2 linked regions of the Saccharomyces cerevisiae S288C genome follow. The gene in region 1 interacts genetically with each later gene. Each region holds a gene or a part of one and is shown on either strand. Other genes may lie near its edges.

The links.
Region 2: mutations in SOL4 (region 1) and ICL1 together harm fitness less than expected from each alone (positive genetic interaction), as found in Saccharomyces cerevisiae (one large-scale study listed by BioGRID).

The regions. Positions count from the first base shown.
Region 1 is NC_001139.9:979,030-990,668, reverse strand, and holds SOL4 (6-phosphogluconolactonase SOL4), read right to left. Parts: upstream 4,698-11,639; coding exon 3,930-4,697; downstream 1-3,929. Other genes in the region: MGA1 (Mga1p), read right to left, coding at 1,250-2,620; CPD1 (2',3'-cyclic-nucleotide 3'-phosphodiesterase), read right to left, coding at 4,984-5,703; transcription factor TFIIIB subunit BRF1, read left to right, coding at 6,397-8,187; SDA1 (Sda1p), read left to right, coding at 8,601-10,904; LSC2 (succinate--CoA ligase (GDP-forming) subunit beta), read left to right, coding at 11,350-11,639. UniProt on the Saccharomyces cerevisiae protein: Involved in the pentose phosphate pathway via hydrolysis of 6-phosphogluconolactone to 6-phosphogluconate.
Region 2 is NC_001137.3:281,192-294,019, reverse strand, and holds ICL1 (isocitrate lyase 1), read left to right. Parts: upstream 1-7,105; coding exon 7,106-8,779; downstream 8,780-12,828. Other genes in the region: CCR4-NOT core ubiquitin-protein ligase subunit MOT2, read right to left, coding at 1-970; RGI1 (Rgi1p), read right to left, coding at 1,469-1,954; RRT13 (Rrt13p), read right to left, coding at 3,221-3,778; VHR2 (Vhr2p), read left to right, coding at 9,798-11,315; THO1 (Tho1p), read right to left, coding at 11,654-12,310. UniProt on the Saccharomyces cerevisiae protein: Catalyzes the formation of succinate and glyoxylate from isocitrate, a key step of the glyoxylate cycle, which operates as an anaplerotic route for replenishing the tricarboxylic acid cycle.

The sequences.
Region 1 (11,639 bases):
CTGAATAGCACAACAAATTTTTGTTTGGCTAAAGCGATATCCTTTTCGACTTGCAGTTCCACTGCAAGTCGAGTATATTTCGGCAGACAATGTCATTCAAATATCTTGCCTACACTAAGAAATATGTCTCTCTTCTACAAATGTTCAAGTTAGGACATGCCGTAAATATGAAAATATTTGAGCAGATCAACCTTTCTAGAGTTTAAACATTGAAGTTTCCAATGGTCTGATACAAGCAAGCAATATGATTTAAAGAACTCCTTAATAACAACTGCTACAATTACTTTAGCTAGCTAGTACAGCAGGCAATAGGCATTTAACGCTTACACCTATTTTGCCTGTCTTTTTTTTTTTCTGACCTATTTTCGGCTCTTCTGCAGCTATTTTTCTTCATTTTTCCAATCCTAATCCGGAAAACTGAAGAAATTTACATCTTGGTGAATGCACTCTCCTCCGAACGCGTCTGAATAAATGATGTAACCTTAAAACTTTAAAAATAATGCGGATAACCTAAACAACCCTCTTAGATAAACATCAAGAAGTAACATGCTCATAAATACGTCTCGAATGATTCTAGTATTTAAAAAGCACGGAAGGAACGCCTTGAGAGGACGGAACAAGGCAATGGTTGCAGGCGATAAAGAATCAAGAGGCAACCCTCAAGCTTCCAGCCAGTGGAAGAAAACAGAGATGAAAGAAAAGGAGTGAAGTGCTTGCATAGAAGAGCAATACGTGGCAACAAAGTCCCGAACTTGCCTAAAAAAGCATAATTTAATTACATTTATTTAACTTTATTGCTCCTTCTTTCAAAAGTCGGAAGCGCGCGAGTAAAAAAAATTACAGAGCGAAGGAGAGGCGAAGGATAGATGGGGAACGAAATTATTGTTTTATTTTTCCTTTTTTGTTGGAATGTTAAGCGGATCCTTGCTAAAAGATCTGCTCTACTTTCTTACATTTGAAATTTTTAAAGTTTTCTCAAAAAAAAAAAAAAAATTGGAGAACAAGCGCAGCCGGAATGAAAAAGGCCATAATTTATGTTAAATTAATCATAAGAAAAATTGATAATAGCAAACATAGCTTGTGATTCTTTTTCTTTCGGTTTGTGAAATAATTGCATTCTTCCCCCTTGTATCTAGTATGCAAAAATATGGAGAATGTTCGTTCTTCCCTACGTTCACTGAATGTTCCTTGGTATCAACAGCGGTAACAGTTTGTTCAGTTGGATGCGATGTGTTCTGTTGAAAATAATTCAGTAAGATGCTGGTTTAGTGGCGACTTCACCTTTCGTGATTATAGGTATACTCTTGGGAATTATGCTGGACGTCAGAGAAGTTAAGGTCGATGATGTATTCGTAGTCTCTTGAAGGGGTAGGGCAGTTGTTTTAACAGATTGCATAGACATCCATTTACTTTCAAGTTGAATGATTTCCTCCTTGGAATTCTGTAATAGGGATAAGCTTGTTCGAAGGTCTTTGTTCATGGCATCATTAGTTAGAGTTTTATTTTCATCTTGCGATGCGCTGTTAATATGTTTTTCTATCAAATCAGTGATTGTTGATAGAGAGTTCTTTAAAGTTTGTATATGGTTATCCAAAGCTTGCCTTTCACTTATATTGCTTTTTTTGGGTAGTGTTACATTATTATTACAAACTCCTAAAGCAGGTGAGTTAGAAGCAGAGTTCGAAAGAGAGTTCATCATTGAGGGAAATGGAGTGGAGTAACTGCTATATGGCGGGACTGTAGGGAGCGGTTGCTGCTGCTGCTGCTGCTGCTGGGCAAAAGCTCCAGGATGATACGGCATTGGGTAATTAACAATTGGCAAGGAAGTTGTTTTCAGATCATCTGTCGAAGATAGTGTTCCTGATTTCTTCATCGGAGGTCCAGATAATGCTTGTGGAGAAAGTACTTGTTGCGGCTGCTGAGGCTGGACTATGCTATCTTGGGTGGAAAATTGATTGGGATAGTCATAAGAATTCATCATCCTCGCCGAGATGCTTTGCCTTCGCATCATGTTCACCGTGGGTTGTTGAGGGGGCAGTGAAGATATTAGGTAAGGTCCACTACTTTGTTGCTGTTGCGGTATACTGATATGTGGAGGACTTTGGGATGTTGAGTAATGGACGGGACTGCCCATAAACATGTTTGATGGTTCTCTTGCAGAAACTGGTCCGGATTGCTGAGAGAGAACATTTAACCTCGAAGCATCAACGTAACTGACAGATATTGGTGACAGTATATTCTTTCTTTTACCATCTTTTCCCACACCAGTGCTCTTTCTTTGGATTTTATTCAAGATACCGGCGTTGGCCTCTTTGAAGAAGAATCCAGATGGGTGGGTAAATTTCCATTCAACAAGTTCTTTAACGTTACCATTGTTGGCAGAAGATTGGTCTGGGGAAGGATGAGATAGTTTATGAAACCCGTACATGTGTAGTTGACGAACAAAACTATTGACATTTCCATGTTTGAAATAACGCTTCAGAACATGTGTACTAAAATTAGGGTCATATGGCTTCAAAAAAAATACCGTGTTATCAGTCGGAGACCAGTATATCCATTTATTTACTTCCGGTTCCAGAAGAATTGCATGAAGTTGGTGGACGAAAGTTTTAGGTTGCATGTGGCCACCGGTTCTCTGAGCTATTGTATTTTATGGCGTGGGTGAAAATTCAATATAGGGGTTACAGCTGCCTAACCTTAAAGCGTGTAAAGGAGATCTAGATCTTCTGCAATGATCAGCTACTACCAATATATATATATTGGAAAAAAAGGTAAGTAACGACGTATCAAGATAAAACCCCAAAGGAAGAAAGATGCAACCGAAAGGAAAGCATGGAAAACTTCGAGCTATTCACTACCTGATTACTTCAACGTTAATGAATACCCTAAACGTGATAAGTTTGTGCTTTTCCTTCGATATGGATATCTACTGCCTTCCATTTTCTGCTCTACGGGTCAACAACTGAAAGATTATTTTTTCGGTTCCTCCTTTTTCTTCTCGAAAAAAAGCTTAAATCTTTCAAAGACAAAAAAGAAAGATTGCACCAAATCAGCGCAGAAGGCAGCAACCAGAGAGACGGGGGCGCAGAGTCAACATCATATACGTAACAAGTTGTTCAGGGCGGATCGCTTCACGTCATACAAAGGCGCGGATATGCACTAATCTGCAAATCTCGCAGTCACCGTAAGCCCAAGCCAAAGCGAACCATCGGTGCTAAATCGGCCCGCCCGACTGAGACGCACAGATTCCTACGCAGGCTCTCCTTGTGCCGCCCACGGAGTATTCCGTTCACCCAAAAAAAAATAAAAAACGAAAGGGGCAGACCAGGGGCAGACCAAAGGAGGGGAATTACCGGCGTGGCTAATATTCCTTATTTTGCTTAGAGCACCTTCCGTTCCGCCGCCGCTGCTTCCTAATCTGGGGCCAGGAAACGTCTGCGGCGGGCCAGATTCATTCTCGAGCCAGGAGAACTGCGTAGCTTGCGATAAAGGGGCGAAATTAACCCTTCCATGCAGCTGGCCCGAAGCAATTTTATATTTCGTGTGCTCGCCAAAAAAAAAAACCCTGCTGCGTCCCTTATTCTATTTCCATGGAAATTTCCGTTAGCGCTGTTTTGCAGGTGGTTCCGAGTCATAGCATTAAGATTAACGCGTTGTAACGGTATCACCGGGTGAGCTATGTTTTTCTTTTAAGTTATGCAACCTTCGCGGAGGCTCGGTTGCTTACGGAACTTTTAAGGTTGAGTTTGCCTTCGGTACCCCTTTCCTTTCTGCTGTCAATTCTTCTAGAAGAACTGGGTTTATGCTTCGGGAGTAAGCTCCAACATACGCTGTAAAGAAGACAGTTGTCATTTATTTATTATTATGTAATGTAATTAAGGTTGTCTGTCGTGATTAACGGAGCCAGTTTCGTATAAAGACGAGTGTAATTAGCAGTTTTCAGGAATCAAGGCGCCAGCTTCGTCGTCGAGAAACCAAGTTACTTTGGTTCCGACCATTTCATTAACCAGCACACTAGGTAGTTCGCTATTTTTTACGATTAACACGTCATGCATGATAGCCTTTTTAGCAGCTCCCCTAACGAGAAAGCACACACTTTTAGCCTCGGCTACTACTGCTAATGTAAAGGTGATCCTGTCCTTGGGTGCCTTGGGCGAATTATTACACCATAAAACCTTGCGGTCCATCTCTTCTACAAGGTAATTAAATTCAACCCCGGGAAACAACGAGCATGTATGTCCATCTTCTCCGCATCCGAGTAAGATTAGGTCGAATGATGCAGGCAGCATGGAAGCGTATTCTTCGGCAATCTTTCTATTGGCCGTTTCACCGCCACCGATTAATGATTCGTTGATAGTGTATACAGTGGGGCCTAAGTTCAATTGGTTGCCCTGATGCACTAGCGGGTCCAAAACTGTTTTTTTGAACTGACCATAGTTACTTTGCGGATCCTCAAATGGAACCAATCTTTCGTCACAGAAGAAGATTCTCCATTGTGGCCACTTAATATGTGGAAAAATGTTTTTGTCATTTACCAAACTTTCGTACAGCGCTTGGTTCATCGATCCTCCACTGATGGCGATATTGAACACTGCATCAGCGTCGCCCGTTAACGCCGATTCTTGCTTTTCAAGGATAAACTTGCCGAATTCGTGTATGAGGCTTTTCTTTTCGCTAAACCTTTGTAATTTCACCATTTTTCTTGAGGTGGTTGTGGATTATTTGATGAATGGCATTCTTTGTTTGGAAAACTGCTGCGATAAGACTACGTTCTTCGTCATTTCTTAAATATTATGGATCTTACAATTTTCGCTGCTTAGGGGGGGATTTTTTTAATTTTCAAGGGATTTCCATCCCTTGCGAAGGCAAGCGATCAGTATACGTAAATCTCTAACTAGAACATTTTCAAGTATTGACAGATATGAAAAAAAAAAAAAAAAAAAAAATTCTATATAATTACTTACAGTGCACATAAATGTATGCTTAAACGTCCACCCGTCCCAATACCTCCCATTCTTGAACGGGCCCCACACAGTTGACCACTTTAAACGTTCCTGGGATATTCCAAGATAGCGATGAAGATACGTCAAAATCCCATCTCATTTGCACTTCATTGGACCCATCAGCGTTTCCGGAACCCTTACGTTTCTCTCTTGGAACTAGTTGCACGTCTAGAGCATCTTCAATTCTTTGTTGAACTACTCGCAATGACGCCTGACTTACCGGATGAATATCCGAATAAAGCAATGAGACGTGAGGATGGAATTCCTCGTGCACCCAAGTGGCGGCACGGCTACTTCGCGTCTCAGGATCGATCTCTACGTACATCTCTCTCATGACTTGTGCGACCCCATAAAGTATTTTGTTCTTGTTACACTCGAGCACAATTTTCTTGAAATATTGTTTACCTACACTGCATCCATTGAAAGATACCAAAGGAGCTGCAACAGCATGGGATACCTGTCCCTTACGTCCTTTCTTTGCTGTTTGGTGTGACCTTATCGATTGGATGGCAGCAACACAGGAGGTCAAGATTTTGTTGACATCATCTTTACTATTGCACACCAAATGGGACGTTACCGTCACATGAGGTTCAAAAACTGGTGAATCTGGGAACAACGTTTGAAACGAAAATATAAGCATCTGTAATGTCTCGTAAGCAACTGATCCTTGTGGTGGACAATACCATAATGCTATTGCCATTTTTCTGTGGTTACTGATATTAGCAAATTGAAGTATCGCGAATTCCCAAACTAGAATAATTACAATTGATGGTAAAATAAAATGATAAAATAATCTGATTAGATTCTTGGTATCTCAAAAGTGACTTTGATAACTTCTTGATTGTTTGTGCCCCTGCTTACGAATTGGGTTCTTATTAAACTTCACCTGCATCGCTTCTCCATCGGATCTAACCTAAAAAAAATAAAAACCCCCCGGTAAGCACTTGATCACGCCTACAAAATCACTTAGTGAACAAAGGAAAATAGATTGTTTTTAAAGTTGTGAAGTAGTGAACTATGGCTTCCCACATACACATATATACTGATACAGATGCAATATAACATTTAGTGTTAGAAAAATTTGCTTCTATCTTGATGACATTGAATACTCTTGGACGTAAAAAAAGACATCCGATTAAAGTGGAGGTAATCTACAAGAAAAGTTGTTCTTCCCCTCATTAGAAATCTTGCAATGGTCACGGCCGTCGCTATCAAAAATCAACGAAGTGAAGTGACTCTAATTTTTGTCTATTAATGTTGCGATGGCCTTATTTGCTATTCTAAGGTTTTCGCGAAGTATCAGGTATGATAAAAAAAATCATATTTTTGATCGCATCAAGAACAATCCCAATGGTAAAAACGGTAATAAAAAAGAGTCCATAGTCATATACCAATGCCAGTGTGTAAGAACTGTCACGGAACCGAATTTGAGAGAGATCTTTCCAATGCTAACAACGATTTAGTTTGTAAAGCTTGTGGTGTTGTCTCAGAAGATAATCCTATCGTCTCTGAAGTTACATTCGGTGAAACAAGTGCAGGTGCTGCTGTAGTACAAGGTTCTTTTATCGGTGCAGGACAAAGTCATGCTGCATTTGGTGGTTCTAGTGCTCTAGAATCTAGAGAAGCCACATTGAACAATGCAAGAAGGAAATTACGCGCCGTTTCTTACGCATTACATATCCCGGAATATATCACAGATGCTGCTTTCCAATGGTATAAGCTTGCATTGGCTAATAACTTTGTACAAGGTCGTAGGTCCCAAAATGTTATCGCTTCATGTCTTTACGTTGCATGTAGAAAGGAAAAGACGCATCATATGCTGATCGACTTCTCTTCAAGGTTACAGGTGAGTGTGTATTCCATAGGAGCCACATTTTTGAAAATGGTAAAGAAATTACATATCACAGAATTGCCGTTAGCGGATCCTTCCTTATTCATTCAACATTTTGCCGAAAAATTGGATCTTGCTGACAAGAAGATCAAAGTGGTAAAAGATGCCGTAAAATTGGCTCAAAGAATGTCCAAGGACTGGATGTTTGAAGGACGTAGACCTGCAGGTATTGCCGGCGCATGTATTCTACTAGCTTGCAGGATGAATAATTTGAGAAGAACTCATACAGAGATCGTCGCAGTTTCACATGTCGCCGAGGAAACTTTACAGCAACGGTTGAACGAATTCAAAAATACAAAGGCTGCTAAACTTTCAGTTCAAAAATTTAGAGAAAATGATGTGGAAGACGGTGAGGCTAGGCCTCCCTCCTTTGTGAAGAACAGAAAGAAAGAAAGAAAAATAAAGGACTCTTTAGACAAAGAAGAGATGTTTCAAACAAGTGAAGAAGCATTGAATAAAAATCCAATTTTGACGCAAGTATTAGGAGAACAAGAACTGTCTTCCAAGGAAGTCCTGTTTTACTTAAAACAATTTTCAGAAAGAAGGGCCCGTGTTGTGGAGAGGATTAAGGCTACTAATGGTATAGATGGTGAAAATATATACCATGAAGGTTCTGAAAACGAAACAAGGAAACGCAAACTTTCTGAAGTTTCTATCCAGAACGAGCATGTTGAAGGGGAAGACAAAGAGACGGAAGGGACTGAGGAAAAAGTCAAGAAGGTAAAGACAAAAACATCAGAAGAAAAGAAAGAGAACGAATCTGGGCATTTTCAAGATGCCATTGATGGTTACTCTCTAGAAACAGACCCATATTGTCCTCGCAATTTACACTTGTTACCCACAACGGACACATACCTTTCGAAAGTTAGTGACGACCCAGATAATTTAGAAGATGTTGATGATGAGGAGTTAAACGCGCACCTATTAAACGAGGAAGCTTCTAAATTGAAGGAAAGAATTTGGATTGGTCTGAACGCAGATTTCTTACTTGAACAAGAGAGTAAACGTTTGAAACAGGAGGCAGATATTGCCACAGGTAACACATCAGTGAAAAAAAAACGTACGAGACGTAGGAATAATACTAGAAGTGACGAACCTACAAAAACTGTGGATGCAGCAGCAGCTATCGGATTGATGTCAGACTTACAAGATAAGTCTGGTTTACACGCTGCATTGAAGGCAGCTGAGGAAAGTGGTGATTTCACAACTGCTGATAGTGTCAAGAACATGTTGCAGAAGGCAAGTTTCTCCAAGAAGATTAATTACGACGCCATTGACGGTTTGTTTAGGTAACGTTTAGGTAATCAACCCTAGGAAGGAAAAAGGGAACGGAAATAAAGACGCAATACATTTGGTTTTGGCTAAAATATATAGAACATGAAGTGCAAAAGAATTAAAGGTGCATTAACTATTTAATATGTATGTGATTATATAAATCTAAAATCTCAATGTCGTAACAATCACTGTTCCATTAAAAAAACGGGTAAGGTGGAAATTTCAGTTTTTTTTTTTTTTCTTTTCTTTTGCTTGATCGGCTAAAAAATGAAAATTTTAAACTCATCTCATCGCAGATAACCATAACACGCTTAACAGATAGAACGTTCTACCACTAAAAAAACATATCAAACGTCACTTTTTTGAATAAGTAATAATAGTTAAGGAGGAAGCACAAGACGCACTGAATATACCAATCAAGGGCATCAACAATGGGTAGAAGAAGTAGAGCAGCTATGCTCCCAACAAATATCATTCTTTTACAGAATTTGGTAAAGCGTGACCCAGAGTCCTATCAAGAGGAGTTTCTTCAACAATATGCACATTATGAATCGCTAAGGGACATTTTTATGTTAAATGGGCTTGCTGGAGGTGATTCTGCAGCTGCCACTAATGGGCTCGATGTAGGAAATGGATCTTCTACAATGGCAGGTACTAACGGTACCACCATGAGCACTTCAACTTCGCAACTTATTGAATTGGTTGGCTTCGTATCTCAAGTCTGCTCATGTTTTCCTCGTGAAACTGCAAACTTCCCGTCTGAATTAAAGCAGCTTTTGCTGGAACACCATAAGTCCTTGCCATTTGAATTGAAAGAAAAAATCTTAAGTTGTTTGACGATGTTAAGGAATAAGGACGTCATTACTGCTGAGGAATTAATTCAAAGCTTATTTCCTTTATTGGTTGCTTACTCTTCCCATGGTAATTCACTCGGCGTTAATTCACACGCCAAGGAATTGAGGAAAATCATTTATACAAATTTAATTTCTTTATTAAAAAGTTGTAATACTAATGGTAAAAATCAAAAATTGAACAAATCTACGCAGGCCGTTTGCTTTAATTTGTTAGATCAACCAGATTCCCAGGGAATCTGGGCCACAAAATTAACCAGAGAACTTTGGAGACGTGGTATTTGGGATGATTCAAGAACAGTAGAAATTATGACCCAAGCAGCATTACATCAGGATGTTAAGATTGTCATGTCTGGTGTGATGTTTTTTTTGGATGCTGACAGAGAACGTGAAGAAAATTTTGAAGAAAATTCCGAGGATGAGGATGGGTTTGATTTAGATGCATTAAGGCATAAGATGCAAGTCAATAAAAAAACGGGTAGACGTGGTAAGAAGCTGGAGAATGCCATAAAAACTGTGAAGAAGAAGAAGAAGAACGGACCGGGTGCTCCTCAAGGGTATTTAAACTTCAGTGCTATCCACCTTTTGAGAGATCCACAAGGATTTGCCGAAAAATTGTTTAAGGAACATCTTTCAGGCAAAACGAAAAACAAATTTGACATGGAACAAAAAATATCTTTGATGCAGCTGTTATCAAGGTTGATTGGTACCCATAAGTTAATTGTTTTAGGAATTTATACTTTTTTTTTAAAGTACTTAACTCCGAAACAAAGAGATGTTACAAGAATTATGTCCGCATGTGCCCAAGCATGTCATGATCTTGTCCCTCCTGAAGTTATAAATGTCATGGTGAGAAAGATTGCAGACGAGTTTGTATCAGACGGTGTTGCCAATGAAGTCGCTGCTGCAGGCATTAATACCATTAGAGAAATATGCTCTCGTGCACCTTTGGCTATCGATGAGATTCTACTACAGGATCTGGTAGAATATAAGGGGTCTAAAGCTAAAGGTGTCAATATGGCTGCCAAGTCATTGATAGCGTTGTATAGAGACGTGGCACCAGAAATGCTAAAGAAGAAGGATCGTGGTAAGAATGCCGCCATGGAAGTACAAGAAGCCAAGAAAGGAGGTAAAGATTCAAAAAGACCGCAATTTGGTGCCGACAACAGTGTTCAAGGGATTGCTGGTATCGAACTGTTAGCCAAATGGAAGAAAGAACATGGTGAAGAGAGTGAAAATGAAGACGCTGATGCCAACTGGGAAGTAGATGTCGATAGCGAAGAAGACGATGTCGACGGTGAGTGGGTCACCATGGATAGTGATAAAGAATATGACGTTGATATGGAAGATAGTGACGATGAAAAAGACAATGCTAAGGGCAAGGAATCAGATTCCGATTTGGAACTAAGCGATGATGACGATGAAAAAGAAGTGAAGGATGAGCAAGAAGATGCAGATATAGATCCCGAAGCTGCCTTCCGTGAAATTGCTTCTACACGTATTTTAACTCCGGCAGATTTCGCTAAACTACAAGAATTGCGTAATGAGGAAAGCGTTGCTAAAATAATGGGTATCCACAAACAAGACAAGCGTGAAGAGTTAGTTGATGCAAGTACACTAACAGGCCCTATCAAATACAAACAGTCTCGTGAGGAAAGATTACAAAAGGTGTTGGAAGGTCGTGAAGGTAGAGACAAATTTGGTAGTAGACGCGGTAAGCGTGACAACATGCGTTCTACTACCAACAGAGAAAAAGAAAGAAGGAAGAACTTTGTTATGTCTATTCACAAGAGATCTGTTAGAGGTAAACAAAAAATGTCACTACGAGACAAGCAAAAAGTGTTACGTGCACACATCACCAAACAAAAGAAGAAGGGGTATTAGACGACATCGTAGCCATATTAATATATACATACATATACACAGATACATTCATCTCTCCAACTGTATGAGGACTTCTCTACCTTGAATGGAACACCAAAGCCAGGTAGATACTAAAAAAAACTCTTTTTATGTCTTGGTACAGAGAAAAATGCTCCAACTGGTATCGATTATGTGTTCATCGGGAATTCTCGGCTTTTCCCCGCAGCGGCGGAGTGAGTATTCTAAAAGTTGGTTGGCCTTTCAATTGCCGCGTAGTCAACATCTTTGAGGTTTTATATAAGATCGACGTTTTCCTTATCAGCACTTTGACGTTTTCTCTCGAAAAATAACAGTGACTATAGAGCGATAGTCCAGTTTTTTTGTAACTGACTTTTAGGTAGTTAGGATTAATAAGGATTGAGTCAATACAATCGAAAAAAATACTGAAGCATTGCAACTGAACAAAATGTACTCAAGAAAATCCTTATCCCTAATTTCAAAGTGTGGGCAATTAAGCAGGCTAAACGCGCAAGCTGCTTTACAAGCAAGGAGACACTTGTCAATTCATGAATACAGGTCAGCTCAGTTATTGAGGGAATACGGTATTGGTACTCCAGAAGGATTTCCAGCGTTCACTCCCGAAGAGGCTTTCGAAGCAGCCAAGAAATTAAACACTAACAAACTGGTCATCAAGGCGCAGGCATTGACCGGAGGTAGAGGTAAAGGTCACTTCGACACCGGTTACAAAAGCGGTGT
Region 2 (12,828 bases), on another chromosome or scaffold:
TGTCATGATGTAACTGAGCCCTCATCGCCGCCGGTGAAGGTGTGCCTGTGAAATTTTCACTTAGTAAATTGGTATTTGAACCAGCGGTACTGGTAGATATATTGTTGTGTATTCCAGATCTAGTGAATGCAGTTCCGCCACTTTGCTGTTGCGCTTGTTGTTTATTGTGGAGTTCTCTTTTATTAAAAGAATCAGCTTCTTCACCAGGTTCATGCAAAAACATACAGTTGGGATTTGGGCATGGCAATCCTCTTAAATAAGAAGAACAGTATTTAGTAGTACCGTAGGCAGCTTTGATCAGGCGGCCATCCATATACGTCCCGTCTACCTGAGCTATACATCTTGCAGCATCGTCCTTGGATCCGAAGGTTATGTAAACGCCATATCCTGGTGAATGATGGTGATAATGCTCGCTGGTTGTGTTGTTAGAATGGGGTGTTTTTCTATTAACCACAATCTTATTTATCTTACCATATTGGCCAAAATATTTTTCAGATTTCAGAGTGGGCGCAACTTCCTCGTATGGAACAGGAGGATTGATGCCAACAACGTACACTAAATTCTTTTGGATAACTCTGGTACCAGATAAATGTTTCCTATTCGTATATTCATTCTCTTTACGTTCTTTTTCTCTATGCTTTCTTTCTTTCTCCTTCCTAGCGAGCTTGGCTCTCTCCATTTTTAACTCCTCCGGAGATAATGTGACGTATCTGACGTTCTCGTCATCATATTTACGACGACATGCTGGGCAACGGCCATTTAATTCTGGATTTTGTCTGATATTATTGTAGCAAAATTGACAAATTTGATAACCACAGGGACAAGGAAAAAAATTTTTATCAGTAATATCCATTGGTTCAATACAAAGAGGGCAATAATCTTCTTCATCCTCCGATAAAAATGACGTATCAAAATTGCTTAAGGCGTTGTGGATTGCTTGCAAATTTTCTTGAACGTGTGGATTCATCATTATGACTGGATTATATACGATACTTTTATTTGGTCTTTTGTACTTTTTATTAAGTTTTGGGATTGTTGCAGAGTAACAAAAGCAGTAATCTATACTATTCGAACCACTACTGAAAACCCTAGGAGGGCTTTTACTGTATGTAGTACACGTCTTGATATGCTTTTCGGAAATTTTGAAAAGAGAAAGCAAAAAAAAAAATCATATTCACACTTACAATGTTACCCGGGAAGAGACGGCAATCAAGTGGAAGTTCGGGTAATAGCATTCATTTTAGAAGCGTCGATATAATCATCGACCAGGTAGTAGTTTAACAATACATTATCAGGTTTCGCGGCGTAACAGTGATACTACTTTATAGCGTTTCACGTCTTCGGGCTCAACATTTCAATAAAAAAAATTCAAAAAGTTGCTAATCGTAAATCATTAAAGGTACATAAAACTACTTATGAATTTGGGAGGTTAGGATTCAGTACTAACACATTCTCTATGACACAACCTTTAATTTGCGCCTACAGGATGTGTTTTGTAATCGACAAATACCATAGCATCTTCATGTGTGCAAACTACTTGAACGTCTATCTTGAAAGGTCTACCATGGTATTCAGTTTCCTCACCGTAATGCCAGGTGATTTTATCAAATGTCTCTTCCTTCGATTTTTCGTGAAATTTAAGCTCAGGTTTCCTAACGGCTTGCTTAATATCTTTCAAAAGATGCTTTTCAATATGCTGGTGCAGGTGACGCACGAACTTCTTAGAATGAGAATTTGCAGCATCACTAATTTTTTCAGGGTCCTCGTGCGACTCGTGTAGCACAAATGGTGGGTAGTAATTTAATTTACAGTGCAAATGATCGAAATCATCATCTTCAGTTTCATTGGCAATGAAAGTTTCAAAACCCTGCAGGTCTTCAAAAACTTTCACGGTTTCACCATCCTCCGTGGTAACCGTTTGAACTTTTACTTCCTTCTTATCCTTCTTTGTCATTTAAAGTGGAGACGAAAACAGTCGATACCTAATTTATATGTTCTATGGGCAATTATTAGAATACAATGCAGAACTTGTCCCTTTATGAAATGTTTTGACCAAAGAAATTTGAACGTGGAAGAACAAAAGATTCAAATATACGCTAGAAATCTTTTGCCTTATATATGTGCACACAATCAAGTAAAGACACTTGTATTTTTCCACCCAGCAATACCCCTTAAGAACGCTGCCCCTTTCATTCTATATTTAATTAACCATACAGTAACTTATAATACCCCTGATTACAGGATGCATTTGTTATGGAAGTCAATTGCCGAGAGCCGTCCACATTATGCTGGTTGCCTCGAGGATATTATTTTTTAGCACATCCGCAATCTCGCCACACCGCATTTCCGTTCCTTCGGCCCCTGAATCTGGGGTAAAAAAAAAAAAAGCAGTCATCTGGAGATTGTATCACCCAAAAAGAAATACGTTTCTGGCTCGTAACAGGTATGACAACACGTTGTCAGAATACCAAAGTTTAGTCTGAACATTTGACTGCGTGTATATCGGAAACGCTGGATTTTTGGTGCCACCTTCTTCGTTCATGGCATATGTGTAAGTCACGTAGGATTAATGTCATCAATTTCATGAGTTGAGTGAAAGTGCAACTTTACAATGTAGTCAACATACTGCACCGTCATCATTACATATTTCAGATTAAGGGTGATAATGCCGCTTTCATAATTCCTATTGAAACCTTGTATTGGCATATGATACTTCAGGAAGATGTGTTCGGCAATCGTTGCTTTTACTTCGGTACTCTTGACAGATTATGTCATTTATTCGCACCAGTAAGGATGTAGCTCTTGTCTTCTGTAGCCGAATTATCGAAGTTAATGAATAATATTACACACAGCTACAGTTTCAGGAAAAATATGAGACGAGTCGCAAATAAGCGGCCATTGTATACATTATGACAAAGTGAGTGTGATAATTACTGCATGGCCCAATGCATGAAAATATGGGTCAACTTGTACCACATTTGCTACAAATGGACGATAACTGAACTGGGCATAAACAAAATTACTTTTTCCTCGATTTTAGTCCTGCTGATTGAGCTAATAATACATAGCTCGCATGTAATTAATGTTGATATATTAAACTAATAAATAGCACATAACTTATTAATGTAAATTCTAAAGTTTTATATTTGTTTACACCGAAAAAGTACAACTGAGTTCCAAACGTGACAAGGTAAGTTCTGCATCATTCTCACATCAATCTTCAACTAAAGTCCAAAATTTCTAAAAGATTTCGCTTGTCTCGTTCTACCGCTGCCACAAGTGTGTTGTCCTTAAAACTAACGTTCCAAACATTATCAGCACCACTCAATGTATCTGAACGGACTAACAGCCCACTATTTAAATCATAAATATTGAGCAAACCTTCAGATCCACTCACTAATACCTCATCAGAAACGTGCAATGCGGTGATTGTATTCAACTGCGTGTGATCGAAAAAGTGCTTCAGAAAGTAAGTGTTAGCGTCCCAACACCTTATTGAACCGTCTACAGAAGCACTGACTAAAAATTTATCGGATAATCCCAATAAACCGACTAGGGCTCTGTGACCCCGCAAAGTGTACATAGCACCAAGTATTTTGGCGCATGGCGATGCTGAATTTGTTGCGTAGGAACATTCTCCATTATTCCTTATATTTTCCAAATCCCAAATTCTAATAGTGGTATCCATACTGGCAGAGATGCACCTTTTTCTTTCATGATCGTAGATTGTCGAATAAATACGATCCGTATGTCCACTCAAGATATATAGACATTTCATTTGCGCAACATCCCACACAATCAATGTATTATCATAGGAGCCACTAATGGCAATATTACCGTGGCCTGAGACAGTTCTTACAGTCGCCGTATGTCCTCTTAAAACACCAACAAAATATGGGTTCTCCTCAGGGGTATGAAAGACTAATGGATAATCATGTTCTTCCCCATGATCAGGAACGGAGGACTCCTTGGGCAATTTCCAAACGTGCAAAGTGTTATCTCTCGAACCAGTAACAATGTACTTGATATTTTTATATTCTACTATATCTAGGCACCTCACCGTAGAGTTATGACCTTTAAACACATGGGTACAACAACCTTTCTTAATATCTCAAACTCGCACCGTTCTGCCTGTAGAACCGCTGACTAAAATACCGCCATGGGCATACTTCAATGCCCAAACCTCACCATCATGACCTGATAGTTGTAAAAGAAATCTTTTATTTACTAAGTTATAAACTCTGATCGTTTTATCACATCCTCCTGTAATGACATAATTATCTTCAACTTGCAAGCACGCAATAACACTCGTCATATGGCCACTTAACGTGGTCCTTTGAGGTGTATAATCAGGATCAAACAAATTTACCAAAACAGACATTTCAGACACAACTTCCAGTACTTTATTAAAGCTTCGCAGATAGACGTTCTGATATAATTCCAAGGTAATAGAAAGCGATTGCTGTTTAAGTTGAACATGGTTTGCATTGATTTATTTAAACTTCGGGTAAATTGCTGGCTGCAACTTTCATTTAGACGAAAATGCAAAATCAATTGCCCCTTGTTGATAGCTTTAAGTGGAAGCCGTTGACTAGGTTTTAACGGGAGTGTGACTCCAAATGAAAAAATTATTGAAAGCTAAGATTATTTTGCACTATGACATTCTCGATAATCCCTTGGAAAGATTTAAGTGATTAGTCCGAGTACCGATATGGTTGAGAATCAAAGGTTTCTTTTCACAACGGTGACCCCACCATTTGAAAAAAAAAAAAAAATGAAAACGATGGCAACGCCCTTATCTGGCGTGGTTATTACCATAGAAAAGTTTATTCAATGTTTTTGTTATTCTCACTGACACAGACAGCATTTTGGAATATTGCATTCCTAACATATTGCTACATTAGCAATTGAAAGGGCAGTCGGAACTATCACGTAGTTTGAAAATGTCTTCCCGCTTAGCTCATTATGCATAAGCTTGTGCACGGCGTCATGGTCCATTTACTGTACATGGTAAGAAAGTTTTATTCCACCTACACTGATGTTGGCTGGTATGTTGATGGTTTTTGATAATTCACGTGTAATTAAGAACATCGAAACACTATCTGATGTATTTTTTATTGTTGAAATTTCTGACTCGTTTACAACCTACAAGCCCATACTGAGCTAAGTTTGCCATGTGCCCATCTATCTGTATTCGTGTCGAATCGGAAAATTATTATGGTACTTTTGTGTTGGAGATGGACAATAGAACGGTATGATGAGGCTTTGGTATTTTCATTTTAACAAGTGAATTTGAGAATTGGGTGATTTGTGATTATATTTGGGTGCACTGTTGGAAAAGGCTATAATATTACGCATACAGGATATACTGGTAGCATGAATACTACCCCAAATGGATGATATTTTAGGGTTTCATTGTAACAGATATCGGTGGATGTGTTCTTATTTTTATATGTCTCTGATAGTGGTTCTTTTTTGGGAAATTCATAATGATAGGCACTATGGCCGAGTGGTTAAGGCGACAGACTTGAAATCTGTTGGGCTCTGCCCGCGCTGGTTCAAATCCTGCTGGTGTCGTTTTTTTTATTGTTAGAGGTGCCTTGAAAATGCTACATTCATGAAAAGTAGTTGAACTGCTTGGAGACCATATTTACTGGAATATCTTCATATGGTCGAAGGCCGTTTGATGCTTCCAAACTGAATGTTGGGCTGGAATAAATTTTGTAATAGTAGTGCTTCAAATGAATTATTTTTTTTTCATTTTCAATACGCAAATGTAAATGACGCGTACGCTGGGACTGATAAGGTTTGTATTTAGATTCTTCCTGGCCTAAACATTATGTTAACTAGGTTTGTTTTTAGCGCAATTTCATTAGTTCTCAAGGAGCACTACAGATTCTTATTCACTATGGTTTAAGTTATTTCTAGAAAATATAGTGTGATCATCGTCATATATTTTTCGGAATAAAAATTCACACTCACTTATCGACTATTAATCATATTACTAGTATATTACCATATACTCTGTAAGAGGATGACATAAAGAAAGATAACAAAATTAAGAGACAGCCATCAAAATTTAATGGAAGCTGAAATGCATGATTTTGGAAATGTAAAGGATAATGAGTGAGCATATAAAATGGAAGAAAAAATAATAATAGGATTATGTATAAAATATCGATTCCCTTTTGTAGATTTCGAGATCTTCGAGGAGAACTTCTAGCACGTTGTTTACATATCTAATGTTGTAACACGGCCTTTGTTATCTTGTGAATATATCCATCACCTACGTCGCTTGAGGTTTCGTATCAAAGAAAGAGAGTTCAAACATAATCATACGTGTTTCACTCCAAATTTGATCACAAATGGCCACCCATTATAGCTTGTTATTATTTACTTCTTCTTGAGTTCATTTTATTGAAAGATGCCCGCTGGGAACAAAACATAAATAAAATTCAAGAGTACAATATAGCGTAGCATAGTTGCGAGCAAGGGAAGGCAACACAGTTAAAATGACAATGTTAGAAGGAAAAACTAAATCAAGCTCCCATAGGAAATTTCTTGTGTCAGTAATATGTCTCGAGAAAATAATAATAATTGAATCTATTTATTGAAAAGTAAATATCTCGTAACCCGGATGCTTTGGGCGGTCGGGTTTTGCTACTCGTCATCCGATGAGAAAAACTGTTCCCTTTTGCCCCAGGTTTCCATTCATCCGAGCGATCACTTATCTGACTTCGTCACTTTTTCATTTCATCCGAAACAATCAAAACTGAAGCCAATCACCACAAAATTAACACTCAACGTCATCTTTCACTACCCTTTACAGAAGAAAATATCCATAGTCCGGACTAGCATCCCAGTATGTGACTCAATATTGGTGCAAAAGAGAAAAGCATAAGTCAGTCCAAAGTCCGCCCTTAACCAGGCACATCGGAATTCACAAAACGTTTCTTTATTATATAAAGGAGCTGCTTCACTGGCAAAATTCTTATTATTTGTCTTGGCTTGCTAATTTCATCTTATCCTTTTTTTCTTTTCACACCCAAATACCTAACAATTGAGAGAAAACTCTTAGCATAACATAACAAAAAGTCAACGAAAAATGCCTATCCCCGTTGGAAATACGAAGAACGATTTTGCAGCTTTACAAGCAAAACTAGATGCAGATGCTGCCGAAATTGAGAAATGGTGGTCTGACTCACGTTGGAGTAAGACTAAGAGAAATTATTCAGCCAGAGATATTGCTGTTAGACGCGGGACATTCCCACCAATCGAATACCCATCTTCGGTCATGGCCAGAAAATTATTCAAGGTATTAGAGAAGCATCACAATGAGGGTACAGTCTCTAAAACTTTCGGTGCCCTAGATCCTGTCCAGATTTCTCAAATGGCAAAATACTTAGACACAATCTATATTTCTGGTTGGCAGTGTTCATCAACTGCTTCCACCTCAAATGAACCTGGTCCAGACTTAGCTGATTATCCAATGGACACCGTTCCAAACAAAGTGGAACATTTGTTCAAGGCCCAATTGTTTCACGACAGAAAACAACTAGAGGCACGGTCAAAGGCTAAATCTCAGGAAGAACTCGATGAGATGGGTGCCCCAATTGACTACCTAACACCAATTGTCGCTGATGCAGACGCAGGCCACGGCGGTTTAACCGCAGTCTTCAAATTGACCAAGATGTTCATTGAGCGTGGTGCTGCTGGGATCCACATGGAAGACCAGACATCTACAAATAAGAAATGTGGGCATATGGCAGGAAGATGTGTTATACCCGTTCAGGAACATGTTAACAGATTGGTGACTATTAGAATGTGTGCTGATATCATGCATTCTGACTTAATTGTCGTTGCTAGGACTGATTCAGAAGCAGCCACTTTGATTAGCTCAACCATCGATACCAGAGATCATTATTTCATTGTCGGTGCCACCAATCCAAATATCGAGCCATTTGCCGAAGTTTTAAATGATGCCATCATGAGTGGTGCATCAGGACAAGAACTAGCTGACATTGAACAAAAATGGTGTAGAGACGCTGGACTCAAGTTATTCCATGAAGCCGTCATTGATGAAATTGAAAGATCAGCCCTGTCAAATAAGCAAGAATTGATTAAGAAATTCACCTCTAAAGTGGGTCCATTGACTGAAACATCCCACAGAGAAGCCAAGAAGCTCGCTAAAGAAATTCTTGGCCACGAAATTTTCTTCGACTGGGAGCTACCACGCGTAAGGGAAGGGTTGTACCGTTACAGAGGTGGGACGCAATGTTCTATCATGAGGGCCCGTGCATTTGCTCCATATGCTGATTTGGTATGGATGGAATCTAACTACCCAGACTTCCAACAGGCCAAGGAGTTTGCAGAAGGTGTTAAAGAGAAATTCCCTGACCAATGGCTAGCTTACAACTTGTCTCCATCCTTTAACTGGCCAAAAGCCATGTCCGTTGATGAACAACACACCTTCATCCAAAGGCTGGGTGATCTAGGTTACATCTGGCAATTTATCACATTGGCCGGTTTACACACTAACGCTTTAGCTGTCCATAACTTCTCTCGTGACTTTGCCAAGGATGGGATGAAAGCTTATGCCCAGAATGTTCAGCAGAGGGAAATGGACGATGGTGTTGATGTGTTGAAACATCAAAAATGGTCTGGTGCGGAGTACATCGATGGGTTATTGAAGTTAGCTCAAGGTGGTGTTAGCGCAACAGCTGCTATGGGAACCGGTGTCACAGAAGATCAATTCAAAGAAAATGGCGTAAAGAAATAGGACAAGGATTAACCATTAGAACTGCCGGCATTTCCTGACAAGTATATATATTCGTAATCTCAATGTATATTTTTTTCATATATAAACATGCGTACTTAAAAACTTAAACTCATCGTTACTGCAGTACAATGTTCTCTAATGGCATCTCTCTAATGGTACTCCAACTAAAGTCAACATTCTCTCCGTGCAAGAATGCCTTTCTCTAGTTGCAAAAACGAGTCAATAAACATCTTTGATCGAGTCGCCTCATTTTTGTTGACTCGGTGACTAAAATCAGTGCCATTTCTGTCCATGCCTCGTGCGCGAATGATTGAATCGAACTAATCCCGAACACAATCATAGTATCGTATCGCCCATTAGTGCCGTGAGTGTACGCGAGGCAAAAGGCACCATGGAAAATATTCCCTTAGTCATCTTGGAAATCATTGAGACTGTAAAGGAACTCGCAAACGGGTAACCGATATTTACCCCACCTTTGGTCGAGAAATTCCACCTGTTCGGCAATTTTTGCCGCTCTTCTCAAGAGCAAAAGGCGTTTTTTTTTCTGACACGCCTCTTCTCTCGCATGCCAAACTCAAGCGTCCTACATGCTTTTCTCATGAAAGCCAAGTGCGGGATGAAAAACATAAAATGTGACAAATAGTGCCACCTCATAATGTAATCGAGAGGCAAAATTAATCACTTTGTTCTCCCTTTTCTTTTTTCTGGGCGCTCAAAGTGAGATGCTTTCTGTAGAAAATAACATGGCCGTTAGAAGGTACTCGTCATCTTTTAGCTGCCGCATACATGTACACACACACACACACACACACGCACGCACATATATATATATATATATATATATATATATATATATTAAACATGATGGCAAAAAACCGAACTAAGTGCTCCTGTTCTATTTTTATATTCTTGCTTTTCATATTTCTCTAGCTGTATATTACCTTTAGCATATTCAAACATCTTAACCGGAAAATATCTCAGCAAAAAAAACAGCAACAGTCAGAGTAAAAATTGCAAGATGATTGACGATACTGAGAACTCCAAAATTCATTTGGAAGGTAGCCATAAAACAGGAAAGTATACGGGCTATGGTACTACACATAAAATCAGAGCTCAGTTAAACTTTAATGATGAAAAGAAATGGAAGAAGTTTTCTAGCAGAAGACTAGAACTCATTGACTCATTTGGCTTGAGCCAGCACAAAGCAAGTGAACAAGATGATAATATAAGACAAATAGCCACCATATTAAGGAGTGAATTTGAGTACCCTGATACGTTTTCGGCAGAATTTGAAAAGTTGGTTACCGCTGCTGTTCAATCGGTGAGAAGAAACAGGAAACGTTCCAAGAAAAAATTATTAGACTCTAAGAAGAAAATAGCCCGTGGTAAAGTTCAAAAAATTCCTTTGTCTCCCCCCAGCTCAAGTAATATGGGGTCTTGTTCAGCTTCCAATGCATCAAGCTCTGACGAAGAAGCCAGCGTGAAGGAAGAACCTGCTGAGCACGCTCTTCCTTCTCTTAATACTATAACATCACAAAAATTGTTACCTTATCCGAATGGCCGCACTCTTCCACCTGTACCAACTCAAGTTCGCTCTTTACTTAAGAAGAACGCATCTCTTCTTCGTGATCCATCGGCACCGTATGCGCACGGCGGCGATGAAAAATTACAAAAGTTTGATATAGAAGATCAGCCTCTAGAAAGTGAACAAGAATACGACTTTATTGCCAAATCAATAATTGTTGAAATTGTAAATAATGCTATTCCACTACCTGAACAAATTCAAAGAGATAAGTTCATTAGACCAAATTTAACGAAAAAAAAAGGGTGCCAAAGCAAAGTTGTAATATCCAACAACTTGAGAAAACTCATCCTGTCAAAGATACATAACTCAAGGACGTGCTTGGAGATGTCTAAGGATGAAAGAAATTTGGATTCTTTTGCTAATCTAGAAACGCTGGGCAAAAATTCACTAATGGCTTCCATTTCCCTTGTGGTAGAAAACAGCTTTTCACATTTACCGTCTTCTACTAAGCAATATCTTACTGAACGGCTGTCATCAATCGAATTTTTGACTATTCTATCGCAAAGGCTATTTATGCCCGCTACACGTCAACTATTCGCTGACCTATCACAAGAAAAAATTCAGGTGAGAGTGCTGAATCTCATACTGGGATCTCTTGTCAAAGATTATGGGTTTGATGCATCTTTGGCACCAATCAACGAAATTATCTATCACATGACACTCCATCAATATCCCTTGGTTTGTAGTAATAAACAGTCCAATCCAATGAGGCCACACTCCACATCTGAGGTCTTGAGTGCACATTCTTCAACGAAAGATGCAAGCACTCCCGGTAAAGAAGAGCCTCGAGTGACGAGGTCAAGCACATCGGCAGATAGCACTATCATTACATTGCCTTCAATTGAAGTCCCAAATACGTACGATGATGACAGGTTAAAGATGTTGAGCGCGATATCGTTGCAGATTGAAAATTCCACCTTTTCCAAACCATTCAGTACTATTTCAAAATAAATAGGCCCGCTTGCATCATCCCCACCTGCATTACTATGAACTATTTATCATAGCTTATTTTTCCTCTATCATCATTGTAACTTGTACAAGAATGTTCAGTCTGTAAATCTCGCCGCTCATTCTCTACTAGCACTTTACAACGTTGACAGCCACTGTATGTGTAATACAGTGAACCGCCGACTCTTCGGATTTAATAACACAGATTTATTTAGAATAATCTACACATGTTTACGTATGCAACAAATTTTGCACCTTCATATACAAACAACTGCGGTCGTTTAAAAAGTGGGAAAGAACCGAAACTAGAATGAAAAACTCCACCAAAACGGCTTGAGCCTTTATCTTCTGTAACCAGAGCGGTTGCCTCTCCTGTTTTTACTTACTCTGGAGCGGTTGTTTGCATTTTTGTTTCTATTTTTAAATTTACCGTTATTGCCACTTTCAGGTTCATTTTTCCTACTGACAAGGCCCAGTTCTTCAGCCAACTTGCTATTCAAGTCAACACCAAACTTCTCCACACGATTTATCTGTCTTTGTAAAGAGTCAATATCCGCTTGATCTTGACCGAATTTGTTAGCGCGGTGCAGTTTCTTATTTAAAAGATCCAATGCTTTGGCCTTAATTTCTTCTGGTGACAAAGCGGGAGCAGCAGTGGAAGCAGCAGCTTGTTCGTTCTCTGAAGCAGTAGCAGAAGGTCCATCAGAGGGCTTTTGAACGTCCTTATTTTCCTCCTTGGGTTCGTTTGTTTCTTTAGGCTCGCTTGAAACTTCCTTTTTTTCAGTAATGTTCTGGGAGGCTGGTTCTTCTATCGCCGCAGGTTCTGACCCTTGTTCCTGGTTTTGTTCCTGTGGAGAAACTTCACTTTCACCCTTTGATTCTTCATCGTCCTTTATCAGTCTTTGAACTAGTTCATTCTTCAATCCGCCTACAGACAGATTTCTCTTGGTCAGTAAATCTTTCAATTGAACAACAGTAAGGGAAGAATAATCTGCCATTGTAAGTGCTTGTGCTGGCTCCAAGAACAATTCTAGTGGTGAAAAAAATTCTATTCAATATACAGATATCTTTGTAACTTCTGAAAGTAGCGCATCCTGAAAGGACACATTTGAAGAGTCACTATTCAACTTTCTTCTCCCATTCAGCATTATCACGCCCTTCCACCAACGCTGGTTGCATTGTGTTTTCTTACTTCGGCTAGAGACGCCGGGTAATAAAATATATATCCTCGAATGAACCGCTGGCCTCGGCCATTTTCATATGACTTCATATCATTAATATGGCCGTAGGTTAAGCAATGCTACGTGAAAGATACCAATTCCAATCGTCTGCTTTCTCTCAAGAGGAGACTTTGCGTTCTTTAAAGGAGCAGAGAAAGAGGGAAACGGTGAAAAACTTCAATATTGATAACATCCATCAGCGTCTAAATTCCTATGCCTCCTTCGAAAATGGTCAATGTTATACCCTCTCCCATTAGATATTACCGTAGCGTACGTATTTGGCCCTGTCCTTTGGG